Neodiprion lecontei: one gene and its partner. The protein of the gene in region 1 interacts with the protein of each later gene in a pairwise test. Links are inferred from orthologs where the notes say so. Each region holds a gene or a part of one and is shown on either strand. Other genes may lie near its edges. The genes, in order: apoptotic chromatin condensation inducer in the nucleus and apoptosis inhibitor 5.

Region 1 (16,638 bases):
AAGGTTCCACCGTAATGGTCTGGGAGACATTGAATACATTTCCAGAGTCCAAATTTCCGCTTAACTCTATGTAAATAGTGGATGGCTGAGATATCTCTGTTGTCCCAATAGACACGTGATATTCCGAGTTTGGCCGGACAACTTTTGGTCCTATAACTGTGTAGTACCTTTGAAGAAAAATATCTGTGAGATGCGAGCAATAAAACATAGAATGATGTGTTCGTCATTGATATTATTTTGCACGATTAAAGATGCCGTGAAAAATTATCTCTATTAGACAGAACCACGATACATAGCTGATGACTGGAAATACATAAACATACGGAGAAGATGTTACGGTAGCAATTGTCCCCAGCATGAGCAGTAACGGTGGCCATAGCGTGTCCATTATTTCTCGACGGCACTACAAAATTCAAAACATGATCATATTACGTTATCATTCCTGTATCGTTGGGCAAATTTACTGTTATGTCCGTTTACTTTTCGTACGAGTACAAACAAGTTGCCATATTTCCCATATTACGTATCAACGATATGAAAATGTTGCAGTCAGCGCAATTCTACTTGCAATGCCGAATACAAATATCCAAAATACGTTTTGCTTTACACAACATTAAGGCCGGAAAATATATAATTTGAAATACCACTTATCGCCGGAATACATTCGCTGGCGTTAATTTTGCATGAAATATGAAAGTTTTTGGATATTTTTGTTCAGCAGCTTATGTAGAATTACGCTGAGTGTTGGCCTTCACATCAGTGATTCGTCGGCTTCGGTAGTAGTAGTGAAGGATAAAAAAACATTTAACTCGGTCGGTAAATACTGACTAAGCATCCTTTTTACATTTACAGGCACTCGATACACCTGTGCGTCAGAGTGATAGTAGGAAGCTACGTCTTTGCCGAAACAGGAGCTATGTCTCACTGATATTGAACGTGATGAGCATAGCTTTACAGGTAACTCGCTACTCACCTCAAAGAATTTGGGTCGGCTTTCCCTGATTCTCTACTAAACGCAGCTTTCTAATATGGAACAAAGCTATCGGGATTCTTTGCCGAAAACACAATCTTCCGCAGGCGTAGGATGATCAGCGATCCAGGAAATGATGAACCGCGAAATGTACAACAGGAGCAAAGCAATCACAATTTGATACACGCCGATGAGTTAAATACTCGTAGGATGTATAAATAAGGCGCGTCGCTGTACACGGATCTTTTCGGATTTTGGAGGCGATAAAACAGAGCACACGAAGAACCGGGCGTGTCGAAGCGAACGATGAATGTAGTAGGAAATTAGCGCGGCGAAACTGGTTTTCTCTGAGCGACGGCGGTCACACCTTGAGAAGATCTGTGGGACCGATGCAGTGCCAATCAAGGTAGCCGTTGATCGCTAGGAATCCTTTCTCTCCTCCGCATTCCCCACTTTTTCCTCGAGTATGACGCCCCGTGACTTTTTATACATATACATATAATGTATTCTTGTAGACTGCCCATCTTACGTATATACATGGGTATAAACCGTTACGATTACGCATATTGAAGTACGGTGTAATACAATTGAAGTTTTATGCAAGTGGTACGACATAACTGTGCGTTTGGGAAAATCGCAATTATTCCCGGACATTCGGCCGCTGTTGCTTATGCAGGTTCATGTATTGCAACTCCTAATTCATAATGATTAAATAACCAGCTTATTATCCTCAGTCGTAAAAAGGACTATATCCTACAAATTATGACGCTCCAAAAAGCAGGACTGCAATGAGCCGCGCAATGGCCGCCTATAAATTGAGCCGCCCATGTTTCTCATCTATCTCCTATTCTTTAATCGTGTAGTCAGATGCGTGTTTTCTATTTCTTTGATTCACCTTGCTCAACACGTGCCCACACAGACATCGCATATTCAACAATTGGTAAAATCCACTCGGTGATATCGATATGAATACACATTCGTGGTTGCAATTCAAGAACTCTCTAACTGAAGAGAAAAAATGCATTTCGTTCGGTGATTTCATCATTTCACCTTGCATACGAAGGTTGCCTGCACAGACTTTGCGTGGGTGTCAGTCACTGCCTGTACTGTACTGCATATGCTTGCTGTGGGACCTGCCACTACGCTACCATCCCACTGATCGTCACGTAACTTAAATGCTCAAAGGGCTCTGCAGTGTTGCCACCCCATTGATTGTAAGGGGTTTAGGTGAGTTTCCAGTCTTCATCAAGGTGAATTTTTAGTAGGAATTGACTCAAGATGTATACCTATAGGAATAAAGTCTTTTAAACCTTGCCGAGTTTGCTTCGCGGGTAAAGTTATGGTAAGGGGAGCTGAAGGGCCCACTGATATATATATACACTGGATTGGATATTACCGTATACTCTACGTGTAAGCTCGTGTGTCCAATTGAACACTTGAATTTCCGCCATCTTGTACAGAAAGTTGTCACAGAATGCGCGCTAGATTTGAACTGCGTAAAATATGCTATTTAAATCTAACGATATATTCGTCACACAAAAAAGTTTTTGACGAGTAAAATAATGTTTGATACATTAAATGAAGAACAAATCATTTTTTCGAAGGTATATTATTATTTACAATTATATGATGTAAAAGATCATTAAATAATATGACGAAAAACTTGTATTTAAGCGTGATTTTTCTTTATGTTCAAAAGAAGTCCTCAATTCTAAGAAGGTTCCGTCCATTATCTTTTATCCTATGGTGGGCTGAATTTCATACGGATTATTCAAAAATTTGTATAACACTAATTCAACCGTTAGGGAATTCATTTACCATCCATTGATCATCAAAGTGGAGCTTAAGACATGTAAAAAAAGTTTTGAATTAAACTATATCGAATTGGGTGAGTAAAAACTTTATTCAAAAATATGGAGAATAAAACATTCCTTGCAAACGTTAAGGAATTTTTATAGAGTTGCGTGCGATAAACCACAACAATATAATTAGTAGTATCAATCCACAATCCATTCACATGAAGAAAAAGTTACAAGCACAATCAAAAGAAAATAAAAAAGATGTACATATCTGAGCATGCAAATCAGGTACAAATGTGTAGGTGCTCATGTAATTTGGTTACATTCACTGTGGTGGGCCGATCGGATTCATCCTGAAATTCGGTCTGCTGCAAGTTTTCACCTACAGATAAGTTACTAATAAATAACGACAATGGAAATACACAGAAATGTGTCACACACGATTTTTCTGTAACAGAGCACTTTATAATCTGTAGGTAATTAACCGCTTCGACGACATTGACGCAATAGTGCATCACATCAACGTGTCTTTATGCACACTGAGTTTTCTCTGACCTAAAAGGGATTAATAGTTTCAGATCTTACCAAATAACGTTGGGATACTGCCTTTTCGTAAAGTTATATAATTTTTACTTTTCTTCTGAAAGCAAGAGAGTTCAAAGTGGTCGGAACACAGAAAGCTATCACTTGATGGAGACCACGGACCAATGTTTATATTTGCGATCCACTGCTTCATAATATCAGGTTCATCCAATGGGAACCTACATAACAAGCAAAGTTTAAATTTATTAATTCACACGTTATGTTGCATTGAGTAACGGTACTTACTTGAAGAATGAATAGCCACGTCCATATTCCCTTAATCGGTGACAAGATGAACACTCTGATTTTGGGTTGTCAAATATAGTTGGTACACTGTTCTTTTTCAATGTAATTAGGAATCCTGTCCTATCAAAGCAGTCATTTGTAAAATGAGCCGAACACAATGTGCTATTTCGGTTTGGCTTCCAGTCCTTCCTCTTCATTTCTTTTAACCACTGCTGAAGGCGCAACACATCTTTCACGGGAAATCTACATATCGAATTATAATTTAATCCCTGAGTCAATAATACCCGAGTTTTCAATTTCAATTATAATAAGATCGGTTCATAATTCAAATATTGTGAATTTTTACTGACACGATTCGTACGTTATAATACTCGTTAAATATAATTAGTAAATACTTCGTATGCTGACATAACCTCTGCAAGTTATCATTTGCAGAACGCATCAGCGCTGTATACTCACTTGTGAAATGATAGCCCACAATATTTTCATTGCTTTGTTTTGCAAAAAACGCAGGTACTCATTGTTACCTCAATAATTGTTACTGTAATTTTCCAACACAATCGATTATATACACATACATATATCACGTATATATTTATATATATCTAAAGTGACAAGAATCTGTACAAAATGGCTACCGTTCAATTGGCGTGACGGCACCACGCTTAAATCCAATCCAGTGTATATATATATCAGTGGAAGGGCCGGAGAAAAATTGCTGCGTTCTGCTCAGATGCTAACTCGGTTTAATATTGAAATTCCATAAGACGAGTTGGTAATTAAGTGCAGAGCAAGAGAATTACCCCCGGACCCACTAAAACCCACGTGTCCCACGCAGCCGAAGGAAATATATTATTATGCCAGAGCTTGACGTCTTTATATATCTTCAGTTACAGCTGAGAGAGCGGAATCCACTGAAATGTATATCTCTATTTCAGTGGCGGAATCTTAGAGCATTTACAGTAATATGCTCCAAGGGGGAATCTGATCGTGAGCCATCTTGGATTAAGCGACGAGCGGTGAGAGAGAGATAGGTGTGTTTGAAGTTGGTAAGCTCTTGTCGCACTCATGGCGACTTCCGGCAACTATCTGTCAGGACCGTCAGGCCAGAATTGTAGCTACGCGCCATGGCTACGCGTTGTTTCGGTTGCGTGCACTGAGCTCTACTAGCTGTTATACAGAGTTCAGTAACTTGGTTCAATGTTCATTGTCAGATTGCGTTATTTTGGTGGTATTCTCTAATTGATATATAGATACATCAATCAACGAAAACCAACGCCAAAAATCAACGCCAAAATCAAGCGGAAACAATCTATTTGCACAATAATGTAATCAACTTCTCAATCAGATCTTATCACACAAGATCAATCTATATTTATACGAAAATGTAATCAACTTCTCAATCAATTTGTATATACGTCATTTATTCTTAATATTATAGCACATTCATGTTTATTAGGACTCATTATATGAGTTACACTTTCACATTTACATAATTTATACGCTATCTTGACTGCTTTTGCTACAATTTACATTCGAACAAATCGAATAAATAAAAACAGAAAATGAAGAATATTTCTGCGTGTCTATGCATAACCATACCTGGAAGCATGCTTGGGATCAACTGTCGAAACTCAGTGGACCGATGTCTGTGTTAGTCAGTACATATCGTGTGTGACAAGTGCATACCAACTTCAAACAACTATCTCTGTCTGACACATTCAACCACCCATCACTACCATACACTTGTTCCACTCACGGAGTAGAATAACTCCGTGGTTCCACTAATATTAGAGTTCAGTGCCCGAAGTCACTGCAGCACAGGTTGGTATTATTGGACATACATTGTAATCCTCAGTCGACGCATTGTATATATTGTTGAATGGTTTTCAATGGTTGCGAGTTGCGATAGAGCAATACAGTACCTAGAGTTCCAAGTTACGCCAGCGTAGCGCCACTATCGAATCCTTGTTTGATTTTTTACAACGATATGCTCAATCTCTTAATCTCTCTACTTCATGTGGTTCCGTGGTGATTCGTCGTTGTTCGTGGTTGTTCGTGGCGCGAGTGCGGCATCTGCGGCGACAATAATCACTTTTCAGCTAATAGCGTCACCGGACATAGACATATTTGTTTCTCTATATAACAATCAAATAATACACAACTAGTCGAATCGTTTTTTCGACTGGGTTGATTCTAATCACGTTGCACAAATATAACAAATTGTTTTGCGATCCATAGTTTTCCATCGGTAAGTATCATCCTCCGATATAACACCGCGTTGAATAAATTTCTGGTCGCGTCGAGTAACCACAAATCAACATACCCCTGGGTGCGCGAATTGTGCTTGGGCATACATCGCAACTCAACTCATTCGAGCTCTAATTAACTTAACCTAACTTAGCCGAGCCTTTCCTAGCTTAATTTTATCCCCTGCATAGCCCAACCCAGACAGCCCAGCTTGGACGCAGTAAAGCTTTTTCAAACTTATTCATCAGATTCGCGCATGAAACGACGACCCAAGTATATTTCACTTGACTTTGAGTGAAATCCCTCAAATGAAATGTAAACGCCTGAGACTGAGTGCAAGCAGTACTTCCATCATCTGACTGTGCAAATGCTCATCGATAATTTTTTTCTTTGATTCCACAAAATCTGTTTGGATTGCCAAATTTATTCAGCACTAGGATTATCAGGTCCTGTGAAAATGAAAAATCTTGTAGAGAAAATACGCAACATGTAGGCACATTACTGAATTCTACCCAGCATTTTCTCACACTTGATCAATGGGCAGGTACCCCTAAAGTTCAGCAACCGGTAATTAATGCTGCGTAGGTACAAAAAACGTTGATTCAATATATCCTTTTATTCGACAGTACCCTAACTAAAATACATGAGAAAAGTTTACAAATGCATTCAATTCTATGTCATGGCAGTGGAAATAACAGGTATAGGTAAATATCTGTATTAAGTACCCAAAATCAAAAACCACCAGTGATTATGCATAACCAGTCCGAGCAGCCGTTTGAATTATTTTAAAAATGCAACTAGGTCCGGGAAATTCTGCTGAGGCCAGAGATTACATAAGTCAATCCTTTCAATAATAGCGACACTGCCATTGTCGTTACTTGATTTTCAACCCTCTTCCACAATGAATTTGACAAAAAATTTGTACCAGGTTCTAACAACATATCATACATGATTCAGCAAACCAGTGAATTGACAGTTATCGTTGTTTCAGAAATGAGGCGCAAAAGTGAGAGGAACAAATCCAAGGGATCTCCGGAGAAGAAGGTGGAAAAGGCAACACGAAAATCTACACGGAAACGTGGTAGAAGGGCGACGTCGTCATCGCCAGAAAGAGAGGAATTTGAATCTAAGTCGGTGGATTTGTCAAAGGAACAAGAGAGCATACCAGAATCGATGACGTCGCTGCCAGCCACAAGGCTCAAGATCAGAGAGTTGAAAGCAATAGCGGAAGAGGAGTCATTGGCGAAGCAGATAAGCAGCAGCAGTAGTGCCCCGCCCTCGGAAAACCTTGAGGAAGGCGGAGGGGAGGGAGCTTCGGTTTGGAAGGTAGCGAGGGCGGATGCCTCACCAGGTGAAATCCAGAAGCTCAAATTATGCAGGCAGCGAAATCCATCGGAAGCATCGGATAGTTCTTCGTCTAGGAAAAAATCTCATAAGTCGTATGAAAGTGGTGAGGGTGACGGCGAGGAAGGTGACTCCGCCGAGGAACCGCTTAGGTCACGGAAGCGGGACCTTGGTGAGGAGCGGCAGGATGATCCCTCCTCCCCGAACCCGGGTCAGGACTCCAAGGAAGAGGTAAGTCATTGTAGGGAGATCCTGCCCAGAACCACTTCAGCCAACTTCACCTTGTCTGACGATAAAAAAAACGTAGATCGGCTAGCCGACAACAACGCCGACCAGGCTATTCGTTACGACCAAAACTGTCCTGTCCAGAAGTCGCCAAAAGCAGATACCAACGAACAGGAGGAGCCCAGCTCCAACGGAGATGATCTAGATCAGACAAAGGCCCCTATAGTCGAGCGACAGGCTTCCGAGGATGTTGATAAAAACTTGCCAGAGGGAAGGAAGGGCAAGGAAGAGGTGGAAAAGGTGGGTGAAACTGAAGCTGAGGCTGTCGTTCGGCTTAACGAGGTGCCGATAAATGACAGCCAGGCTGATGAAAAAGAGGATTCAATTGCTCCCGCTGAACCTGAAACTAGAGAGTCGAGTACTGACGAAGATAGCTGTAACAAGCCCATTGCATCTTCGGTGACAAGTGAGACAAAGATTCAAACTAAAAGGTCTGAACTACTTACGTCATTGCGTACAGTGCGGCGGAAGCATCGTGATAAGTATCACGAGTCCTCAGACTCTGACACACCTGAATCTGAGGATGAACCCAACGAGAAGAAGACTAACGATTCTCAGCAGAGAGAAGAAACAGGGAAGGAATCAGCTAAGATCAAGAGCAGCAGATCCCCGTCTCCAGTGAACAGATTTGGCTTCTGCGCAGAAGTTTCAGCGGATAATAAAACTGAAAGTTCTGGAGAGATAGAGGAGAGGAGAAATAGCCCGAACGATTGCAGACCCTGTGACCAAGTACCAGTTAATTCACTTTCAGCTGATTATAAACCTGCAAAAGTCAATTTGAAGCGATCCTTGTGAGTAAAATGCTGTTTTGTGTGTTATTTTGTTTTTATTCTCCTTTTTCAAAGCCACTTATCTCATGGAAAAACGTCTCTAAATGTGGCATGACCACCCGAATACAATCGACTAAAATCTGTATGGAGATTTAGTGCTCTTTTGTTGCTAATTTATTGTCTGTGTCGCGATTTTGTTGCTTCAGCCGTTTCGGCAGAATCAAAGCCAATGCCAGGTTGGAATAAAGTTGACATTGCTTTGAGGAAAAATTTAAAAAAAAAAGTAAACATGGTCTATTAATTGTAAGTTGTTATTTAGTTGATTGAATGTCACATAAATATAATTTCAAATTAAACCTTTATTTCAGTAACTATACAACCAGTATCCACTTTAAGAATTAGTTATTCTGGAAAACTCCACCGCATCATTTTGTTATTCCCCTGCATTTGGGCAAAAACTCCTTTTAGTGTGATGAAAATACGCAATTCCGCAAAATGTCCTTTATTTAAACGATTATCAAACCTATTTCTACTTTTATAATTAGCTGCGCTGGAAGACTCCACTACACGATTTTGTTGCTCACCTGCATTGGCCCATGTAATCGCTGAAATAATCGACATTTCGAGTAACTTGGTATTTTTATCACACTAGGGGTGGTTTTTGGCCAGAACAAGGTAAGCAACAAAATCGAACTGTGGAGTTTTTCAAAGCAACTAATTCTAAAAGTGTATATTGATTGTAGAATCACACATATAAAGGACATTTTCATAATTTAGTATTTCTTATCATATTGGAGGGGGTCTTTGGTTAAATGCAGGTGAGTAACAAAATAGCGTGGTGGAGTTTTTCGGAGTTACTCATGCTTAACGTAGATGTTGGTTGTATGATTACTGAAATAAAGAATAATTCGAAATTATATTTACGTGACATTCCAGCAACTAAATAGCAACTATACATGTTTTTTTTTTTATCATCCACCCATTGCAGTGCTAATTTTTTTTCACCTAGCATTGCCCTTCATTCTGCCGAAACGGCTGAAACAAAATCGGGATTTTGGCAACAAATTCATAATAAAATAGATGTAAATCTTTATGTGGATTTTATTCGATTTTGTTGACGTCGTCATGTCACCTTTGCAGACATAATGATAAATGCAATGTAAGCGATCATACATTTAAAACATGTTCTTGCTTCAATTACTTTGCAGCTCTGTACGGTTAATGGAAGCCGAGGAGTCAATAAAAAAAGATGATGCCGAGAAAAATGGAGAAAGCGAAGTGTCTCTTCGAGTCAAGGTAAGAATGCGGTGTACCGTTTTAACGTTCTTGATGGGTATTTTTCAGATTCCAAAGAGATTTTGCTTTCACTGTCTTGCCATACAACTCAATGCTTCCAAAGCTTTGGAAATCTTACTACAGCAGAACATTGATAATCCGAACTAATTGGGACCGGGAGTGGTTCGGACTATCGAATCGTTCGGATTACCAAAAAAAGTGCTTTCCAGGCATAGTAGCATGCAAAAAATGAACACTGACATACTATTTCCCATAAAATAAGAAGCACGTTGTATTGTTAAAGGTAAATAGTTTGTTTTATGAAATACTACTGTGCTACAGTAAGGTAATTATATTTTATGTAATGTATTGCACATGAATTTCGTAATATTTTTAGTATACAATCCTATACACATACAGAAAGTACAGTACTGTACACACAAAAAAATTATACTGTACAGAAAGATAAAAAAATTAAAGAAAACAAAAAACTCAACAAAGAACATTCGAAAAACCAACACAGGCTCAATAACAACACACATGATGCAATGTTTACTACGGTGATGCTCTGTTTACTGTAGCAGTTAGAGAGCGATTCTGATTACTATTTTTATTTTTTCCAAAACGGCGTTCGGATTATCAAGCGTTCGGACTACAGGGGTTCGGATTATCGATGTTCTACTGTACTTACGAATAGGTTGACTAATTATATGTCATGCTTGGCCAACAGGAAATTCACAACGTAGCTGAACAAGCCGATGGTAAAAATTTACCCCGCAAGCGTCGCTGGGGAGTTGCTGTTACAGCAGAATCAACCCCAGCTTTTACGGTATCGACTGATTCCTTGAAGGTATGTTTCATCTTTCCTTAAAATTTGCTAAATTGATGTCTACACTCGGGAATTTCGTAAAAAATGCTTGTCTGATTTTCTCTCCAATCGTTACGCAGGCTTTGGTACCCGGCGCAAAGCCACTGTCGATTACAGAAGTCAGATTATCCAAAGACGATGATGAGCCAAGGGAACGACGCAAAGAGCGGGAAAAACGGCGTTCGATCAGCGCCGACGCCACGGAGCCGAGAGTTTCCGAAGACATTGCAATGACAAAGAACGAAAATACGAAAAAGGGAGATCTCAAACACGATAATCACATAGGTGGGTCGCAGACGCAGTTTAACACGCAATTAATTTTAAACACAACCTGTATCCAAAATTTGTAGTCCCTCCTTTTCATTCAATCGTGTATTTAGATATACTTGATATTCCACAGGTGCAAAGCGGAAGATATCAATACTGAAAGAAGCGCCTCCCGTCAAATCACCAAGCCCGTCATTGGCAAAGGCGACAAATGTACTGCTGATAAAAAACCTTGTTCGCCCATTTACTTTGAACCAGATCAAGGAACTGCTTTCTCGGACAGGCACCATTATAGAGAATGGCTTTTGGATAGACGGGATTAAGTCCAAATGCTACGTAGTGGTGTGTATTAAATTTTTAACTTCTCAATTTCGGGGGAGCTCGATATTTATCTTTTCCGTTATCTTAATTATCAACAGTATGCGAACGAGGACCAGGCATTTGAAACCAGACAAGCCCTGCACGGAATTTCGTGGCCATTGTCAAATCCTAAACGTCTTCAAGTCGAGTATGCAACTATAGAAGATGTGGAGAAAGCGCGCGAACTGTTCAAAGACCAACCCGCCCTCCGCGCTGCAGAGCCATCGGTGGGTGGCGATACCTGGCAACAAGTCTGGGCCCGTGAGGAGAAGCAAAATGCACCGGTCAAGGTAACCAGTTTTTCAAGTTGCTCACAAAAGACTGATGCTTTTGGAGTCACTGCTGTTTTTCTTTCCTACATATCATTTTACCCACGAGTTGAGGTCGTTTCTTTTCTTGGTTCGGCCTTGCGTTGTATTACCTACCTACTTTTTTTCTTCCTTCTTCATATCATTGTAACATAACAATTTACACATCGTGTAGGTGAATACTGTCCGTGAATGGGATCTGGGTAAGGAAGATGGCCATCAAATGAAAGAGAAGGAACGGGGAAAAAAGGATTTGGAGAAGAAAAGAAGGCAAAGAAGTCGCAGCCCACCGATAGAGCCTCACCTACCTCCACCTGCTCGGAAATTCAAGAAAAAAGAGGACGACCCACCGCCAGCCAAACTCCTCGACGATTTGTTTAAAAAAACTAAGGCCATTCCATGCATATACTGGCTGCCACTTACAAATGAACAGGTAAAGGAGAGGTGATGTTACCACACCTGTACAGGTTTCTTATTCTTTCATGGAGAAACGCATGACAATGAACCGTTTGTTATTCGTGCCTATAATACCTATGATCGAATTTCAGATTGTGGTAAAGGAAGAGATGCGTCGGCAGCATATGGCCGAACACGCGCGTAGACTTGAGGAGATGAAGCGCGCGGAGAGAAGCAGAGACCCTGCCGCACGTCGCCGGCGCAGCCCCAGAAAATAAACTCTGTTGGTTTTATCCAACAGTTGTATCCTCCCCGAGCAACTCAAGATTACATTTACGACTAGACAACAACACGCGACCGACGTTCAGGTCTTAGAAGCTAGAGTCTGTATAGAAATCAATCCAATGACTTACCTATTCCACGAGACGATCGTTGCACGCAAGAGACCAATTAACCATCTCTTTCCTCTATTTCTCAACCCCACTTTTTTCCCCAGCCTTTCCTTCGACTTTTTTCAATAAACATGCTTCTTACTCGTTACCGTATCTCAGTTGTGATTGACGAGCAAATCGTTCCAAGACTTTCACCGGGTTGCAGACTTTTGGTGCATAAACTAACTTGTAATTCCCGTACGACCGACGCACGAATCGTGTCCCATCTCTCCAGTCCATTCCTCAATTTCAGCATTAAACCGTATTTCTTACAGGTCTACGTCTGTTCATAACCGTTCACCAAAGGCAGTAGAGATAGTGATATTGTACTTTGATAACTGTACCGTAAGGGGACTGTCGCCGGCAAGAGACATGGTATTATTTCGACTAATAGCATCGATATCACTATCAGGCTTTGGCCTTGGTAATAATTTGCCCCCGGTCCGGGTGCGCCGCGTCGTGGGAATAGGAAAAACAAAGACATTGAAATGGATATAAAAGGAAAATCGAGAGACGTACCGGCATTGGTCGATCGACACTCGAACATGGGGGTGTGTAACACAACCAATACTGCGCTTCAGTCATGCGCCGCCACCCGCGTAATGCTAGTTCCAACAACTCGAAATACATGCAAAGAACGAACAACTTTTACTTCCGATGGAAATTTTGAACAATGTGTATTACGTACAATACATAGTAATTTTCGTTAGCCGACATTGGCACGTTTGGACAAATATAACGCGCAATCGGTGTGACACCGTTAAATGTCGGCGAACTTCGAAACGTGACGAATAATGTGTTATTTCAATAAATTCACACCTGCCATGAATCAGGTAGCAGCTGTTATTCGCCGGCGATTTATGCGCAAGTGTAACAACATACGGCACGTATTGCCGCCCCGCCTTGCGGAATCACATGTATATATTATACTTGATATATCCCAAAATGTGGCATGTAAAATTATTCATCAATAAAAGTAAGAGACCTCAAAATACAATCTCTATACGCGCTCTTTATAACACAAATAATAATAATAATAATAACAACAACGACTACAATTTACAGAAGATTTGACATTTGTTGTTGTTTCTTTTCGGTCTTCATAGTTAATAATTCACAGAGAATGCCCAGATTTATTCAACTGTCCCAGGTATATGCAAACAAGGTATGCCGGTAATCTATTGCAGGGGGGCACTATTGTTCACTGCCTGGGTTTGATTCAATGACAGTGGCAAGTATTCTGTTTGATAGTGCAGTAGTTATTTGTAAATAATTTTTGGCACTCCAAAAATGCTTGGAATTCGTCCCCCCCCCCATGATGTTACATTCTATCAACGCACAATGTTATATTCCTCGATACCAGAAAATGATATTGACGAATTGTCGGCAGGCTCTTTATTCAATGTTACTGGGTGATCCCTATCTTCAGTCACAACAGGGTTTGTATTCATACAAAACTGTCGATCTCAAAAACTGCTATTTCGAAAGTCTTTGATACAGCATAAACGAAAGCTAAAAGTAGGTAATTGGAAAAAATCCCTAACATAATGACCGATTTGTACAAATTACTCATACATATGAATATTAATCTTCATATATGTATATATACACGCTTATAAGATGCACACTTAACATTAAGTGAACTATATTATCCTTATCGTTATTGTTATTGTTACCAATAACATAATTTATGTAACACGGTATGGTTTACCCGTCTTTTTTTGCCCCTTACGTCGTAGTACTTAAAAGTGTTTGAAAGAAAAAAGATTAAAAAAAAAAAACCACACTTATAAACCGTACTTTTGTTACATAAAGTATCTTGTGCACCATGGAAGCAGTATTTGCCTCGCTTATTTCTAATATTCGTCTTTGGCTTGCGCAAGCGCTCGCATACGACTCATATTGCAAACTTGGACTTTGCGTAAAAAGATCTATTTTGCATCCTTGGTACACATTCAACTATTTTTCTTTTCAAACTCTCGAAAGTTGGTGTGTCCTTGGACGTTACCGGACCGATATACTCGAGTAGTTTCGTGCCATTATTATAGGCAATGAATTATTAATTTTCTTCAATTTCTCACAACAGCCACCGAGAAGTAGGGTACTCTTCGGGACTTGATAGAGTTGTAACAAGCCTTGCACTAATCAACTTTCACTACGCTGTAGATTTTACGCACGAACCAGAAGCAGGCAAAGAATCCAATGGAACCTGAAATAAATATGCAACATGGATTTTGGCAATCTTTCACGATGACGCAGAACCATTAAAGACTTGACGTATCCTCGCCTCGACTTACCTGTGAGTAAGAAAAATAAGAACACCATAATAAGGGTGTATCCGAAATACAGGAACGTCGATGTTGCGTCTTCAATATTAAGTTTTGTGACAAAGTAGTGGATACAGTAAACTAGAAGATAGAACGCGGTGAAACCTGATGTCAAGAAGCTCCGCCACCACCAGTGGTAATCCTAGGATGCAGAATATGTGATATTCATTTAGGGATATTACTGTAAATAGTAAGTGCATTGCCAAAGTAATGCTTGAATTTACCTCTGCGCAAAGATGGAAGTAGCAAAGAAGAATTGTTGTCTCTGAACATGTTATGACAAGAATGAGAAATACCAGGAACAAGAATCCGAACATGTAGTACACCTGACTTGACCTGGAAACGGAATGTGTATACATAAAGCATGAAATAAAATATCTTACTTGGATTGATAACTATGTTGGTTTGCAAACGTCTCATTTACCATAGGGAATTTAACAGAAAGAAGAGCTGAATGAATATGCATCCAAAGGGCAAGACTCCTCCCATCACAACTCCAGGAACAGCTTGTGTGTAGAAACTTTGTTCCGGAATCTGCCGTGGGATCTGGTTGGTCCTTACAGGATGTTCGAGAGGCTGCGGGGATGAAAATTAAAGAAGACCGTTACTCGATCTGAAGAATTTACGTTGTGAATCAAGGCGGAAGGAAATAACAATGACTGTGAAGACAATGATGGAAACAACACCAGAGAAAGTAACAATGATAACACTACTAACCCTTTTCCTAAAGCCAAAATATGATCCAACGAACGTAAGAGGAACAGACACACCGAACCACAATGCCAACAGGGCGACAAGTGTGCTGAAAGGTACAGCTGCGGAGCTGTCGTTCATCCAGAATATCAAGTTCATTACAAAGAACAAACTGAAGACAATGCTGGAATACAGTTAAATCGTATTAATAATAACATTGGTATTTTTTTTTCAGCAGATGCTGACTGCAAACAGTTAGGTTCTAAAAAAATGCTTGCATCTATCTGCAACTTACCCAGGGCTAAGCATAGAAGTTAGGAGAACGTTCGACTTCCACTTTTCTCCGCCAAAACTCTTATATACACGAGCTGAGACATATCCAGCTGGGGTGCCGAGGCACACATATAGAACCATGGCGCAAGTCATTAGGGCACCACGATTTGCCGGTGAAAGGAAGCCAAGACAAGCAAATGCTTGAGAGAACGAGCAATATTGAGTAATTACTGTTTAGTTCCAATATTATCCTATTATGGCTTTCTGCTCTTAACCAAGACTCAAGTTTCGACCTACCTAAAGTAATCAGTGCCATAAAGAAAACCTGAATGCCAGAGCCGAGAAGTACCGACAGCAGCATCCCTTTCCGCGGAGGGCGAAACACATCACCGTGTACCAACTTCCATCCAAATTCCTCCTGCGCGTCCTCTCCCGACTCTATCTGAAAGTAGGCCTGCGTTATCACAACACAGACATTGCATAATCACTATTTCATAACGAATAATATGGCTGGAACCCATATATTTCTTTTTACATTTTTAGATCAAGTTTTTTGGACGATGTGATGAAGGGAATCTTGCACATACAATATTAATTCGCATTTACATGCTGTCTTCCGTTACCTTCCAAACCAAAATAAGACTAATATTGAATATCCAGATGAATATCTTGGTCAAACGGTAGGTAGGACTTCAATTTTGAAATTTGTCAGGCAACAAATCCTAAATTTGACTCGATAGGTGCTTTGTAAAAAACCTGTGCAACAAATGTGCAATGAAATAAGTAATTTGCAAACATACCTGGTTATATCGAGCAATATCTTTATTCAGCGTGCGTAGCATAATCATAGCTACCATCCCAGACAAAAAGAGAACAATCACTAGCGAATTTAGGATACTAAACCACTGGATGTTTGTTTGTGGCATTGACTCGAGAATATAATCCCATCTCGATGACCATTTGATTGTGTTATTTTTCTGAAAATTGAATTGAATTTTATTTATTAGATGCACAGATACAGGAAGATTTTTCCATAATTGTAGCAATTACAAAAATTCTTTTAGCTCTAGCCATGACAGTACATGTAGCTTATGTGATTTTCAAACACTTTATGTGTGTCGCAGAAGCCCAAAACTAGGCTTGTTCGCAATCAGACTATTCTATAAATTCGTACTTATAATATATCTAAATAAA
Region 2 (16,624 bases), on another chromosome or scaffold:
TCGAGAACGTGGCTGCCCGCCGGATTCGGTTAGGGGTATAATGCGAAAAAAAAAATTCACGTGGATGCAAAGGAACACAGAGAGAGGCTTAGCGGCGGGCGGTACGGAGAGGGGGGAGGTAACCTGTCAAACGGTCGCGGGCGAAGCGACGGCTAGGCAAGACGGTCGGAAATTCACGAGATAACAGGAAATGCGCTACGGCGTTAGTCATGAGACACATCGATGTTCAACTGTTTTGTATTGGTCACTTATCCACTTGTCTGAATATTTTACACTTCGACATTCGGGCAGCGCGATTTAATCCCGAGTTGTTTCAACCGCGACACCGAGAGGCAAGCGACGCTTTTCCGACGGTCGAATAACGTCGCTGTGTAGGTAACTGGATGAACTTTGAAAAAGCGTAAACATTTAACATTCCCAGGCATCTTCCATGTTCGGCGCTACGCAGGCATGTAAACAAAACAAAATGGCGAACACTAACCGCCGCGCTGCTTTTGTTTTTTCCTCTGCTGTGACGACTCGCGTTGTTAGACGCTGAAAACACAGTGACTGCCTCGTCGACGAGCCTTCCACTGCTTTACTCGTATTTCATGGCGTGAGTAGATCCACCTCGCCTATCTTCACCCTCCGATTGATGGTGTTAAACCGAGGCTGATATCGTGGTTATAACCTAGCCTAACATGACCCATCTTTTTTTCATCTGACGTTTAAATTCCTCTGACTCGTTTCAGTTCCTTCTCTTTTCTTTTACAGGAATAAAATCTTACGACTACGCCGTTGATATTATTTTATTAAACCATGGCGACTCCGGAAGCGACGCAGGTCAGCTCGCTGCCCATGCCGCCTACTCAGTACATCAACTTGTACACCGATGAGAACGTGCGTAGAGGAAGAGCTCCCCGTCCTCCCCCGGCTAATCATGAGAACTATTCCATGTTCGGGAACATGTTCAACGCCGACGACACCATCATAAGGCCGCTGGAAGCGCAGGGGATCAAGAGGCTTTATCCCCAGCATTTTGACCGGCGTCGTGAGCTCAAGAAACTCAATCACTCTCTTCTGGTCAATTTTTTAGACCTTATAGATCTGCTGGTACAGTGTCCCGACAGTCCGAGGAGAGCGGAGAAGGTGTGTCCTTGATTTTCTTCATACTTGAGACATTTAACACCAGGAGTTATTGACGGTAATAAAGAATCTCATGGTTTTTCCTGACGTATTTTCAGGTCGAGGACTTGAGCCTTTTGTTCATCCATATTCACCACTTGCTTAATGAGTTTAGGCCGCATCAGGCTAGAGAAACTCTTCGTGTTATGATGGAGCTCCAGCGTAGACAGCGGACAGAAACCACTCTGCGATTTCAAAAACATTTAGACAAAGTATGCTATACGTGTCATTGGTTTATCTTTCATCACATTTGGTTTCTTCTAATATCACTGACTAAAATTTCTTTCAATTCTTTCTCTCTAGGTGCAGGAAATATTGCAGCATGCATTGCAGATGCTGCCTGACACCTCGGAGCTAGATTCAAGCCTTGCTGTCAGTACAGATACGATGGAAGTTATGGATACTTTGGGACTAGAGCAACAAGCTACAGATCCGTGTTGTCCAAGGGACCGAATGATGTGCAATATTATCGACGAAATGACCACATCGAATAATCTTTACTGATTCTGGATCAGCAAAAATTCATCCCAACAATAAAATAAAAACTGTTTTATTTATTGAAAACAGCGTCAGAAACACTGTTTAACAGCAATTAAAAAGAGTTTTCAGTACCTCTAATTCTTGAATTTTTAGTTTTCGTCACGTAAAATTACGAAAGTAAAAATAAACATGCTGGCTTGAATTGCATCTTGCTACCTTGGTTGAATGAAATAATTTTTATACTTCAACGCTGTTGAAAAACTGGTTTATAGTGAGCTTAGATATAAGGAACAATTATTAGTGAATTTGTCTAGACGCGTGTGAGTTTCTACAATGATTATTACTGCATATCGTTTTATACATAATATAATTAATATTTTAAATATTATTTATTACTGTGCTGGACAGCGATTAAAATTAAAATACTCTGAATACGGGCGCATGGCTCTGCGATTTACTGTACTTATCATTTGTATATTTGACTGACTTGGAAATAGTCCAGTAATCATTATTAAGAAATGAAGGATTAAAATGGAACTACGTATTCTCCAAAGAAGTGAATAAAAATGAATTTCAGTACGAAGTTGTGAAAAAATATCTCCTAGAAATACTATTATTAGGGATGTCATAACAATAAGATGAATTATTGATCATTAATCAAGGTAGATTTCATCTGAATGATGACATAGATTCACAGCGCTAAACGTAACATGGAAACCTGTAGCTGAGTGTAGAAAAACGGGACAGTTCAAAACAATTTTGAGCCGAACAGCCCCACGTTCTTGAACGGTTTCATAATGCTATGTAATGAATCAGTTGATATAAATTAGTAGATAACGATACTCAAAGAAATACTTGATCGAGACATGGGGACAAAGTATTTCGAAACATTTATTATGTAACGATTTGTAAAAAAAAAGTGTTAAAAACCTTTCTGCATCTCATAAATACCTGGAACTGTTTTTTAAAAGTAAGGAACATTCATGTATAATCATTTCTCGAAATTCCTAACGCGTCACAATTCTTTGAAATATATCTATTGCACGTTTGATTTATCTTATATTTCCAGTACATTTTACGTTAAAAATACACTTCTCCTGGTAATAAACTCCACAACAACTGAGTTCACACTGTCTGATAACAGTAGCAAAGTTCAAACGATAACTTAAAGATGAGCCAATATAAATTGTCTGCTGTTATGCAAATGAACAGTACAGAGTTTAGTCATGTTACGTTACGCGTTGCTGGTCCACGTTCTTGTGGCTCTCGTAACAGCTGAAACAGAGCAGACATGCACGAGTCACGATGGCTTTACTGTGTGTCATTTTCGAGGTGTTTTAAGTAGTGTTACACAGCAGAGGAACGAAGACAGATTGGAAATCAGTGATTTAAATTTGCTGTCAATCAAGCCCGGCGCCTTCAAAGACCTGACGATAACAAATTTATATTTGTATCAAGGAAACCACATCTCAATTCTACAGTCCGGAGCATTTACCGGCCTACCAAAATTGACCCGCCTCCATTTGGATAACAATGTTGTCACCCTGATTCCTAATCTATTTCAAGAACTATCTCAGCTAGAGTCATTGTCCTTGATTTATAACAAGATCAACAATATACCGGCAGGGACGTTTACCGGACTATCGAAAGTAATGTGGCTCTATCTCAACCAAAACGATATTCCGGAGATAAAGCCAAACATGTTTACTGGACTCCCACAGCTGTTGTATTTGTGGCTAGATAATAACAAAATAGCTACCGTTGCTTCAGGGTCTTTTGCAAATCTCAAGGAATTAAACCGTCTTCATTTGGACTACAACAAAATAACAGAAATAAAACCCAACACTTTCACCGGTTTAACGAAGCTTGAAACTTTATATGTTAACGATAACAGCCTAACGTCACTTCCGCAAGAGACATTTGGAAGATTGCCGGAGTTGAAGAGATTGTATGCAAATCACAACAAAATTGCAACCATCCATTCCCGTGCTTTTAAAGGCCTGAGTGATTTGAAGATCTTACATCTTGAGCACAACGAAATTTCTGAGATTCAGCCCGCTGCATTTGAGGGCCTCGTCTTGGTTGAAGAAATATTTTTGTCCAATAACAGAATTCACACTCTCCCAAATAATGTATTCGCTGGACTAACTCAGATCAATTTAATTTACATGGCAAATAACACTTTGACTCAAATTGATAAAACTAGTGTTCAGCTGCCAAGTTCCAGTACAGTTTATTACACTGAATAAGATACTAGCGGATACCTTGAAGATAAATTGCAAACTTGCTACAAATACGGACATGACAGAAGTTAACTTAAGACTCGAGCAGCAGCAGCGACAAATTTGTATTTCCAGAGCAACTACATTATTTCTGATATCAACTACAAGATAGAATAGACAAGATTTCAGTGATTATTTAATAGAGAAGATTCGTCAATGTTACGATAACAAAAATTTCTACCAATAGTAGCTGTCCAGGTGGTCTATTTAGTAGCAAAATATTGCACGCTTCGCCACGTGTCGTAGCTCAAAGAAACTACTTTTTTAAGAACGTAATACACACCCTACTAAATAATCTGCCAGCAAGATTGATACCTAGCTGATAAAAGTTTAACTAAAATTAATAGAAACTGCACTTGATGTCTAGATTTTAGTTTTGTTATAAGTGGTGATGCTGACAATTAGCCCTTGAAGATTGTTTGCTATACGGTTTTGTAGCTTAATTTATTGCCTTAGTTAAATGAAATAATTATTGTTTCTCCACGATGTAGTGATGGTCTATTAATGTATCATTAATCAAAATAAATGTCAATAATAAAATATGAATATAGTATGTTCTTCACCTTATTCCGTAATACTATCGTCTATCACTTATTTTCAACTCAATTTTTCTTGTAAATGGAAAAAGTAAAAAAGTGAAATAACAGTTATTGATGAATAATAAAAATCGTTTTTATTAGGATAATAATAAAGATATATTCACAAAACTACAGATAACATGAAACTTTTCATTTGATAATGGGATAGGGAAGCAGGGCGATGAAGAATTGCAATTATTGACTCACCTTATTCAACAGCTACCATCATATACAACACATATCAAACTACCTAAACATTATATTCCTGGGACTCGTTTACCTGAAAGAATGAATTTCATTAGTTTATAGCTTCTGATACCACTGAAAGGAACCCGGGCTGCAGGCACCTGAAACAGATAAATTTAGCAATTTCTCTTTCTTCTCTCGCAGCGCAGCTTACCCTCGTTTGCAGTTTCGTTTTGGTACCTGAAACCTCAATGAAAATAAATCATGAGATGACAGCAGCCAAAGAAATACTTGGTTACATATAACCAAAACTGAATCATCCAGACATTCAATCAGCAAGTAGTGAAAAAATTGAATCAGCGGTCGTTAAAGATCAGTACAATAAAAGGTAATGTGATAGAAAATTGAACATGAAGAGAAAATATTTTATACCGTTTATTAAAAGAAAAAAATAATAAAAATAAATATTCAAACGTAATATGGTATAACAATTTCGTCGAAAAAATTCAAAACACGAATACGAGTATATGTAATGAGCAGAAGTGTAATTTATAGGAAAGCAGAGAGTATTTATCGATTCAAGTATGTCTTTGGCTATAAAAAATCCTCCAACTTGTGGCTGCAGCTTTCTTGACTTTCCGCAACTGTAAAAACCCAACTACTAATGAAGGGAGAAAAGGATAGGGATCAAAATTCTACAAAGGGAAAGGCAGGGTGGAAATCATTGTAAGTTGCAGAACATAAGTTTGACATAGATTGCTGATTGATGAGCGAATTAAAATCCTCCAGCAGACCAGTGGCGGTTTTGCATTTGACGAGAATCGGCAGGTAGCTTATTTATGACCTCGGGAGCACGAAATTTTCAATCTGCATATCGTTACCAACAAAGGTACTAGGAGTAGAATTCTTCTTTCTTGACCTGCTGATGCCCATATGTAATCTCTCGATTCATATATTTTCTTAGCTTCTAAAAGCTTCTTGTTGCGTTCTTCATTCACCTTTGTACATAAAGTACAAAGTTGACCTCATTGTCGGTCAAATTAACTGGATATTGGCTGCTTCAATTTTGAATGTTTAACCATCGTTTAACATTACGGTCATAAAAATTAGACATCAAAATTAGAACTTTGAACACCACGAGTACCAAATATAACGAATGGGCACAAATCACGTCACTTTGATCCTTTTTTCCATCAGTATTTTTGTTTTTCCCTGATCCGAGGCATATTAATTAAGATGAATCAATACCTGACTGGACATGGATTTGCAAACAAAATTAACCACTTTGAGTGCAAAACACAACAGATCGACACAAACTGTTTCGGTTTTTATGTCTCGATCAACTTCTTGAGTCTTTCCTTCATTTGTAGTATGTCAATTCAGATAAGATTGACACTTGAAAACACTCCAACACATTAATACGTTAAAGCTGCCACATCGTACACCAACTCGTGGTAGTAATGGTACAGCTTCTTTTTTACAAATAATCTTCATTCGCATATGCTTCTCACATCGCATTTTTGACTCCTCAAAATCCTTTAGGCGAATTTTATAGCTCGTAATTTGTTTTAGTCTTTGCATGAATATTTTCCACACCTCGTACGGACTCATTGCTTATTTTACGTCATTTGCATAGGATCAAATTTAGTAAGCACTCCTTCGCCATCCGCGACCACGTGCTCTGTATCCTCCACCACGTCCGCCAGATCGATTTCCCCTGAATCTTCCGCGATTTCCTGATAAGCAGACCGTATAAAATTAGGTAACAAGTTTACAACACGTTATTCTAGGTAAAATAACTAGAATTTATGATAATACTTTTCCAGTAACTCCAAAGTTTCCTGACCTCTTAAGGCATTCACGATTTTGAGTTTTTTCACACTTTTCAACACAATTGGTGAACAACATTTCCAACCACTGTCACGTTTGGCTACATTTTTCAATCAAACGACATCAGAAAGTACATCAATTCTTTGAACATACTCACCATAATTTGAAGAAATGTTAGAGCTGTATTTGCCACTGGGAGGTGTGTAAATTTCTCGTTTGTTTCCTTTATTGTCGTCTTTGCTCCGTTTGTTCGGTGCATTATCGTTACCAAATGTAATCGGTGTGTGTCTCTTTTGTCCCGGTGATGCTTTATCAGTCTGAAATGAGATCGAAAATTAAATTAACGATTTTGCGGTTTGTTTTAATTTTGGATTTGTAATTATGTCATCATACAGAAGTAGTAACTAATTTGTTAGATCACAGATTATAGGTTTATGTTTCTTACCTTTTTGTCAGTTGTAGAGGGTTTCCATGAAAGATGTATAATGCTTTTGTAGCTCGGTGGTGAATGAAATAGGTCTTTGATTAAAGTGTTGATATTGTTGGTTGTTTTAAGTGCAACAACTTTCATTTGATTTTCGTCAGATTTCAACTGTTCTTCACTTTTTCCACTTATAGCTTCTCTGAGCTTCTTTATGTAACCCTGTATCCCCCTTGCAAAATATTGTAACCTCAGTCTGAACTCTTTCAGTTGATCCGCATCACGGGTCAAAAATTCTGGGACTTGCTTGCCAAGTTTGTGAAAAGTATACATCAGACACTCAACGTGGCTAAATTGGAGCTTTGGTAGCTCCGGCAAATCGGTTTCTGGAGGTAGAGGCATGTACGTCTGTTGGTAACATACATAAGTCATAAATAAGAAGCACCCAATATTTTCAGAGTATTCACATCATCATATTTGTTAGTAAAATACTTACAACAAGGGCATTGTATATCTGCTGTACTTTCTCTTCAGGTTTCTCGATCGTTCCACAGTAAGTAGTTAGTTCAGCAAGAAGTTTTAAAAGTTCCAATTGTGGATCTCTGCCTTCAGGTCCCGTGATTAAAGACAAATGGGGTAAGACTTGAACGCATATGTAACAAACAAATCTGGACGAGTCAACTTGCGACTGAAAACAGATAACAGTATAGTTATAGCTAGCAATTGAAATGACATTGATGTCTGATAAACAACAAGAGCTTCACACACATTGAAAAATGGTAGGGCATGTTTAATGCATTGCACAAGTCGACTCCACTGTTCTTCGTTGGTGTGCTTAAAGGGAATTGAAAGCTCAGCTTGTTCAACAATAATATCAATCAACTCCTGTTGTCCAGTAACTGTAGATCCCAGTCTGGTCCATGCGAGTACTTCCATAATGGAGTGAAATTCATCAGCTGTGACATCCTGCGGAAAATTGATATTCAATTGCAATAAAATTTACTGGAAAACCCCAAAGAAAAAAAGAGATATTGTAAAAGGAAAGAACTGAATTTTTCACCTGTAATACTTTCTTGCACTCAACAATCAGCAAATCTTCTGGTTCTTTAGTTATGATATCATGGCCAACAGCCTTTAGTTTGGTAGCTAAAAATTTGATGCAACGTTCTCGAGCTCCATCATCGCCGTTCAGAATCTGACTGAAAAATCCACTGATAGCACCTGTAGATGTGAACAATGCCTTAGTTAAAAATCGAAACTTAGCATGTCGAATGTATTTCTCTCTTTGCCTATGAACTTGAAGTATTTGGTGGTACACTTACCTTTAGGATCATTTTTTATTAGCGACATAATACTGTTTTGAACCACAGCCAATTCTGATGGATCTTGCGCTAATAACAATTGCGCCAATATATCAGCAATCCGCGCTGTATGTTCTTTGTTCTCTTTGCACAATGACGGCAGGTCTTTAATCGCTTGCTTCCTAATCTGTAAAGTCGACACGATTGTGATGGATCTTTACGCGAAGGTAAACTTGAAAATTGTAGAGAAATATTGAAAGATCTATATTCAATCTTACTGACAATGTTTTAATTACAAAATCCATCGGTACGAAGTGATAAAGGAGAGATGGTAAAACAGTAATGTTGGGAAAACTGAATCGTTATTAAACATAAACAGAATCGATTTGTCATTGATTACAACTAATTTTTATAAGTCATCTTTTGGGAGCTTTTGGACTAACTCTGATGCTGCCACCAAAAATATCGGTACGTATGATCAATAATTATTGATCGTCAATGGCAACGTCATTGTATCTGTACAATTGCTATAGCCAATTTCAATTGAGCCTGATGCTATTTTGGCATCTTCAAAAGCTTTAATAAATGGATAAGCCTGTAGATTTCACTAACTGCTGAAATTCCTTACACATCATAATACCTTGAAATATTGTTATTGTTTATGCAGTGTATTTTGATTTTCTAGAATGAGACATGTTTCACGTAAGCCATGTTGGCCTCATTATGTTTTTGTTGTTTTTGTCATAAAAGTGACAAAGTTCAGGATCAGTGCAGATATACCATCAGATTATTAAGAAAAGTGATTGTGCCAGAGCCAATTTCATGATGCTTCACTGCAGTAATCAGTAGTAAACAACATCTAAGAGATGAAAAGACTTTCATGAATTTGACTTTCACAGTCCACATCAACGTAATATAACAATGAAACACAAAATAGCCAAACAGCTACGAATTTCGTAAATAAATTTTCTGGTAACAGACTTGTATCAGTTTTAAGTCTGTTGTAAGATATATGGTTACCACATCTTTCTTCAAAATTATATCCATACCCAACTGCGATGCAGATGGGATTACTTTTGGGTTCAAACTCGTTGATTACATGTATTTACATATCACTACTTTCAATATCAAAAACAGGGAATGGTGAGAGGAATTTGTTTTAAAGAGGATAAACGGTTTAATATATAATATACAATGAAACGAGTTTATTGTTCATGATCAAGTTGAAGAGTATGAATTCAATTTGGGCAAAAGAGATTTAATGACTTCAACGATAATTATTGGAAGGCAGATTTGGACGGAGGAACTAAACTTGACTTGTTGAATGTAGCAGCAGAAGTGTTTGCTTGATAAAAAATTGAATGGAAATGCACTTCATGAAAGATGAAATAAAAATCATTCAGACAATAGGTGTGAATCCATAGGGATAGATGCAGAAATTCACGATAATTGGAGAACATGTGCATCTGAATAAGTGCAATCCCGACTGGTTAGAGCAATTAGAGTCTAAATGAATATGGAGAAATATAGACAGGAAGGAGGCTGTAAGGATTACAATAAGGAATGGGAAATATTATTAATAAGCGATAGGCGATAGTTAATCAGAACAAGACTGGGGGAACATCTGGCTGACAAACAAAAACCAACATATACACTGTTTAAGTTAAATAAATTCCGTAGCTGTATATGCATATGGTTTTTTGATTGTTTAATCAATACGTGTAACTTTCGCTTCAGGTGCAACAGTTGAATTACCAACGGAAATACAAATAGTCAGAGTGAGGCGCGATACTAAAAAAATATTTGCGCACATTGTTTGTTCTCCATAAATGTACAAAACAAAGTTACACATTACAACTGTACAACTACGCTGACTAAATAAAATGAATAGTTGATTGAGGTTTACATAATTATCATATGTGGTTTCGTTAGTGATGGGAAATGAAATGTATATTTTACAGAATAGGTAACATGGTAATCGTTACTGCTAACAAGGTACTTACAGCAATGTCTTCATCTTCGCAGAGATCAAGATGAGCATCGATTGCCTGATCTGCGAGTTTAGGGAAGTGTTTGAAAAATCTGGCGATGAATTGCGAAGCAAGGCGCTTTTCTTTCGTCGTTCCCTTCACCGCGGTGAGAATTTCCATGTACTCCTTTTCATGCTAGAAATTTATTAAAATAACGTAAATTAATTTTACACAGAGGGAACTATGAGAAAGGTTTTGCAAGTCACCAATAATCTGTATAATTTCAATTTTGCGAGCTAATTGGATCTTCAACATTTCGTATCCAGATAGCAAGAATAATTCAGCAAAAATAATGTGAATCAAGACGTGAAATTCGAGGGAAGTATAACCAAGCCAACGGTAGAAATTACGAACCTCGGCTAATTTATCCTTGGCGTCAGCTAGTATGCCAAAATTTTTATACAACTTCTCAATGCTGTCGGTACTCATCGTAACGGGTGAGTAAAATCCTTTCAATCTGATGAAATAAAACTTGACCAGATTCGTGGGACTATAAATTACACCGTAAATTCGTCCACGTCCAACCGGTTTAACGCCACGCCAAGAATGAACTCAACTCACACCAATGGCCGCCAGGCGACAACAACTGGGTGAAAATTGAGAAGGTAAACTCAACATACGTGACGACCCGAAACAATTTCCGGCGGAAATGCGTACGCTTGACGTTAAGAGGAGGCTACCGGGGTTGACCGAAGATATACGAAGACTGCTAGCCTTATGAGAATTTTCGTAATCGAAAGTGGACTAGATAAATTTCACCGTCAAGCTGAGTCCTCCCCTCCGCGCGCAACTCAATCCGGCAATCGGTCGGTAAGTAGAGGCGACAAGAACCGGTATTACCATCGCTCACCGCGTGTACCCAGATAATGCAGAGTCGAATATTATTATGGAAACGGAACGACGAACGGGCACAGACTGAAATCTTCATACAACCTCGTAAGGACGCCGTATACTTTCCAACTATGCAAATTCATTTCAACCAAATTCATCAGTCAACGATGGGAGTAGCCTCGCGTGTGCAGAAAGTGTGGCAGAAAAGTGAGGTGGAGCACTTATGCCATGTACTTATGCTCGTACTCGTACTCCCTCTGCTCTACAACTTAATTGGCTGGTCGATACGTTTCCTCTCAGCCAATCAAGGGCAGGGTGACAGAGACGGAGTATCCTGGCTGACCCGAGGATATATATCTCGCTCTCTCGTCACTACGGTCACAGATTTCGCGAGGTTGAAGGTACGGGTAGCTGCTAACTCCAGTAGTACATTTTGGAAGGCTTAATTGGCAAAGTGCTAGTCGGTAATCGTGTCAATTTGACAGTGTTTGTCGGCTAGGGAAAACGTTGGTAAGCGCTTTGTCGGTAACTCTAGATATTCTATATCTTTGTTTAGAATTGGAAATGTAAACGAACAAGGAACTGATATCGGTATATCAGTTGACTATGCCAAAATCGCGGGATGCATCTTGTCGGTTACTTGCTGCTCTATTTTTTTAATTTTTATCCGTAGAATGGTTCTGAACGATCCTGTAAACTTATATTTAATTTCGTGCGATTCACGTGATTGGGTCTTCAGTAATTTTAAAACGTCTAATGAAATTTCAAATTCTTTCAGCTCGTTTTCAGCCATTCCAAATGATTTCAAGTATTATTGCCTTAACAAGGAGTACAGGCTTAAATCAATGGCAATATCCAGTATATCAAAAATTTTAGATTTGAATAGTCCCTGGGTTACGACTCGATGAAGGAAAATTAAAATACGTTATCAATCAAGTTCTAGAAATTAAAATTATCTAAAATAGTAAAAAAGTTTTTTGGCTTCTCATCACAAAGCTGAAACGTACCATTTCAAATGGCAGATGAAATTCAAATTGTAATATTATGATACTGATCGCAACTGAATCTTGATTACATTCCGGTGATTACTGTGAAAGTAAATCATGCTGCCAAACAAATATATCGAGGATAAATAGTGAATCCTCCCAAAATTTTAATCAGTGAAAATAAACTTTAACAATCTATTTTTTGTAATTACTGCAAAGATTGTTGCAACGTATATATTTCATGAAGTATACGATACGATTTAATCAGTGAAGTCAATTTTGTTTACGCATTAAGCAAATGATTAATTAATATTCATTGATCACGTGTTTAACTTCGACCGTAATTTCGAAAGTAGATGTTATAGGTGAAGGGTCAGAGATCTATGAGTATCGCATAAAGTGATTATACTTAACCGTATGACATGAAATGGAGTAATAACAGAATCCCAACAAATGGAGTAAGAAGTACATCCTCGATTAAAACTGTACATCAATCATCATAGTATCAAAAAAGTGGTGTTAGAATTGACCAAAAGAGTCTATAAAACTCGGCAGCAAGATTTTTTAGAGTAGTTTTGGGTTTTCGGGATTTGTTGATTGGAATATCTACTACGGTTGTCACAGGCCAGTCCGATTACTTGCCAATCAAAAAGATTCGTCTTCTGTAAAAGAGTCGAGTAGATACACCTTGTATGTTTCGCAAGAATTTAACTATATTTTACGTATTTAGCGGTCATCGGAATCATTATCCTCAGCGTGATCACTCGCGCGACTCTGCGCAATGTCGGTGGTAAAGTTCAAAGATATCCTTCAGATATGGTTCGACTTAAATAGTCGGAGCAGCAAGGCGAGACGTTAGAAGGAATCGCATCATGATTCGTCGTGCAGTGCTAGTGAACTTTCTTTTGGCAGTTGTGGTTGCTCAGACGCAGCCGACGTGCAAAAATGTGTTCGACTATACCGTGTGCAGTTCCGTCGAAGGTGTTTTAACCGAGGTAACGCAACGAACGCACCATAATCGTTTGGAAATATTGGATTTCAATTTGATATCGATTGAACCTGGAGCGTTTAAAAATCTCTCGCTAGTAACTCTACACCTGTTTGCCGGAAATCGAATTTCGAATTTGCAACCAGGCGCGTTCTCGGGCCTGCCGATGCTGAAAGACCTGCGCCTTGGAAACAACGCCGTTACGCTGATTCCCAACTTGTTTCAAGAATTGCCTCACTTGGAAAGGTTGTCCTTGGCCAATAACAACATTACATACATACCGGAGGGGACTTTTAACGGATTATCAGAATTGGTACAGTTGCAACTACATCAGAATCTGATTGCGACGATTAATCGAACAACATTTTCTGGTCTTTCGAAGATAACTTCTCTGGAGCTAGAGAGCAACAGAATAAGTACCATTGCCCCGAAATCGTTTGTAAGTCTCAAGAAATTGAAAAATCTTTACTTAGATAGAAACAATATAGGAGAACTAAAAGCCGATACTCTCAAAGGTTTAACGAAACTTCGTTCTCTGCACATCAATGACAACGACATAGTAACTATTGATCAAAGGGCATTCAGAGGATTGTCTAAACTGACCTTCTTACATCTCCAACACAACAAAATATCTACAATTCGATCAGGCACTTTCATTGGTCTCAGCAGTTTGGAATCTCTGGATCTTTATAATAACGAGATTTCAGTGATAGAAGCTGGTGCGTTCGAAGGCCTCACGTCGGAGTTAAGTATCGATTTGAGTAACAATAAAATCAAAACCCTACCGAATGGCTTATTCGCTGGACTCACAGACCTGGAGTCAGTTGATCTGTCCAATAACACCATAACTGCAGTTGACCCAAATGTAATTCAGTTGCCAAGTACTGCGACAATTCAGTTTTCGGTACCCACCGAATAATTGTGTGCTACTTTCCACATGAAGATTTCGTCTACTGGAATGATGAATATGAGTGAATAAAAAATTCCGCTCAATTAACAACAATGTAATATACTTTCGCACAATCTTTGAATAAATAATATTCCGTAGAATGTCTCTACTGCGTTCCAAGAATGTATAGTACTTTCCCGTTTAGATTCATGTAGTCAGCTTGCAACAGGCACACTCACGATTAGTATAAATAGTTAAGGTACGAGAATCGATTCACCAGAATTGTGTGGCCATGATTCGGTGTGCGATACTCGCGTACTTCCAATTGGCCACTGTGTTGGCTCAAACCCGACTGAAAAATGAAGGTAGGTAAGTCTACTTGGTAATATTTAAATCATTGCGTGACTGAAACGGTTCAAATGACAATATTCTATTCATTCCGATATTGTTACGAATCAAGCATCACATAGATTACATTTTTCGCCTAATCGATCAATTCCAATCGTGAATTATATCCCCGCTCTCGAACACATCGCCCAATTCTCAACACACCCCTCTCCGTACAGGAAAAGCTGCCAAGTGAATTCAGCGAAAGAGAAGAGTCTGAAGTACTGTTACGCAAAGAGAAGTTTGAATGAGTTCGTTGCTAACAAGAAAACCGAAAATGATTACGGTAACAAAATTCCACAAGATTTATTTTATTGTCAAATACACTGTCAGAAAATTCACGGTGTCTATAAAAGTTAAAATCAACACCAAAATGGTGTGGATTTTTATAGAATATATTATACACGTGCGAACGATACTGAATGATCATGAATGACGAGCAAACCATCGATCATCCCGACGCAGAGATTTCTTGGATTTACGTTTACGTGAATTGTAAATCTTACGAGAGTTGTGAGTGACGGCCTGAAAGGAATGAAGTTATTCTATTACTTGTTCGAAGTTGATTGTCCGCAACATCATTTTACTCGTTAAATTCGTCGTATACTGAAGGAATTGGAACAAAAATTACTACAGTACTGTTTGCATGGTTGCTCCAGAAATTTAACATCAGGTAGAGATAGATTGACATCAAATTGAAACCGAATAATTTTTCAGAGTAGATCGCTGTTTTCGTGGATTGTTGATTGGATATCAACTACGACTATCACAGGCAGCCCCATAAGCGCGAATCTAAGAATTTAATCTTCCGTGAGGAAGTTTAGTGAATACGCCGGTTACACCCCGCGGAAACTTGATTATGTTTTACGCATTCGACAATCATCTGAAATATCATCTCCGGCGTGATCAATCGACACGTGACTCTACGTAACGACGCTGGCAAAGTTCAAGGTAGCCTTTAGATATGGTTCGACTTAAATAGTCCGAGCAGCAAAGCACGATATTAGAACAGAATCGCGTCATGATTCGTTGTGCAGTGTCGGTGAACTTCGTTCTCGCAGTTGTGCTTGCTCAGACGCAACCAACGTGCAGAAATGTGTTTGACTATACCGTGTGCAGTTCCGTCGAAGGTGTTTTAACCGAGGTAACGGAACGAACGCACCGTGATCGTTTGGAAATATTTAACTTGAATTTGACGTCGATTGATCCTGGTGCGTTTAAAAATCTCTCGCTAGTAACTCTACACTTGTCTGCCGGAAATAGAATTTCGAATTTGCAACATGGCGCGTTCTCGGGCCTACCGAACCTGAAATATCTGGACCTTGATAACAACGCGGTTACGCTGATTCCCAACTTGTTTCAAGAATTGCCTCACTTGGACAGATTGTTCTTGGCTAACAACGGGATTACCCACATATCGGAAGGGACTTTTAACGGACTATCAGGATTAATAAGGTTACAACTGCATCAGAATTTCATCGCGACGATAAATCAGATAACATTTTCCGGCCTTTCGGAGATAACTTCTCTGGGGCTAGAGGACAACGAAATAACCACCGTCGCTCCCAATTCGTTCAAAAGTCTCGAGAAATTGAAATATCTTTACTTAGACAGGAACAACATCAAAAAACTGCGAGCCGAAACTTTCAATGGTTTGACTGAACTTGATTCGTTGTCCATTTCTCACAATGACATAGTAACCGTTCATGAACGGGCATTCAGAGGATTGTCGAAACTGACCCTGTTATCCATCGACCACAACAAAATATCCACAATTCGATCGGGAACTTTTATCAGCCTAAGTAGTTTAGAATATCTGTATCTTCATAACAACGAGATTTCAGTAATAGAAGCTGACGCATTCCAAGGCCTCTCGTCGATGACTCACATCAGTTTGACTGACAATAAAATCCAAACTCTACCGAGTGGCTTATTCGCTGGACTAACGAACCTGAAGTCAGTCGTCCTGGTTAATAACACTATAACTGCAATCGACCGAGTTGTAGTTCAGTTGCCAAGATCTGCGACAATTCAATTCAGGTACTGAATAATTGCGTTCTACTTTCCACGTGAAGATTTATTCTGCGGAAATGATCGACATGAGCCAAAAAAAAATCTGATTAATTAACTACTATGTGATATGCTTTATGAAATCGTTGAATAAATTATTTTTCGCATGATGTCTCGAGTGCGTTTCAGGAACGTCTCATATTTTCCCGTTCAGTTTTCACCAAGTTAGTTTTACCGATATCATAGAAGAATCTTTCCTCT

What was found.
Region 2: the proteins of apoptotic chromatin condensation inducer in the nucleus (region 1) and apoptosis inhibitor 5 interact in a two-hybrid assay, tested with the Drosophila melanogaster proteins (2 studies listed by BioGRID). The link is inferred for Neodiprion lecontei from reciprocal best matches to the Drosophila melanogaster genes Acn and cass.

What each region holds. Positions count from the first base shown.
Region 1 is NC_060264.1:23,641,648-23,658,285, forward strand, and holds apoptotic chromatin condensation inducer in the nucleus, read left to right. Parts: upstream 1-6,511; 5' UTR 6,512-6,526; coding exon 6,527-6,551; intron 6,552-6,838; coding exon 6,839-8,267; intron 8,268-9,454; coding exon 9,455-9,542; intron 9,543-10,251; coding exon 10,252-10,371; intron 10,372-10,469; coding exon 10,470-10,674; intron 10,675-10,789; coding exon 10,790-10,998; intron 10,999-11,075; coding exon 11,076-11,306; intron 11,307-11,499; coding exon 11,500-11,757; intron 11,758-11,872; coding exon 11,873-11,998; 3' UTR 11,999-13,672; downstream 13,673-16,638. Other genes in the region: CD109 antigen, read right to left, coding at 1-167, 324-403, 1,866-1,898; THAP domain-containing protein 1-like, read right to left, coding at 3,054-3,151, 3,355-3,530, 3,598-3,794; transmembrane 9 superfamily member 2, read right to left, coding at 14,293-14,360, 14,449-14,620, 14,703-14,814, 14,903-15,054, 15,196-15,355, 15,467-15,644, 15,742-15,898, 16,245-16,421.
Region 2 is NC_060265.1:6,382,748-6,399,371, reverse strand, and holds apoptosis inhibitor 5, read right to left. Parts: upstream 11,026-16,624; 5' UTR 10,702-11,025; coding exon 10,627-10,701; intron 10,408-10,626; coding exon 10,246-10,407; intron 8,430-10,245; coding exon 8,264-8,429; intron 8,163-8,263; coding exon 8,002-8,162; intron 7,908-8,001; coding exon 7,710-7,907; intron 7,630-7,709; coding exon 7,438-7,629; intron 7,350-7,437; coding exon 6,966-7,349; intron 6,838-6,965; coding exon 6,678-6,837; intron 6,427-6,677; coding exon 6,335-6,426; 3' UTR 4,202-6,334; downstream 1-4,201. Other genes in the region: mediator of RNA polymerase II transcription subunit 7, read left to right, coding at 799-1,128, 1,224-1,376, 1,468-1,668; leucine-rich repeat-containing protein 15, read left to right, coding at 2,871-3,893; insulin-like growth factor-binding protein complex acid labile subunit, read left to right, coding at 12,962-13,993, 15,336-16,400. UniProt on the Drosophila melanogaster protein: Antiapoptotic factor. Also known to efficiently suppress E2F1-induced apoptosis.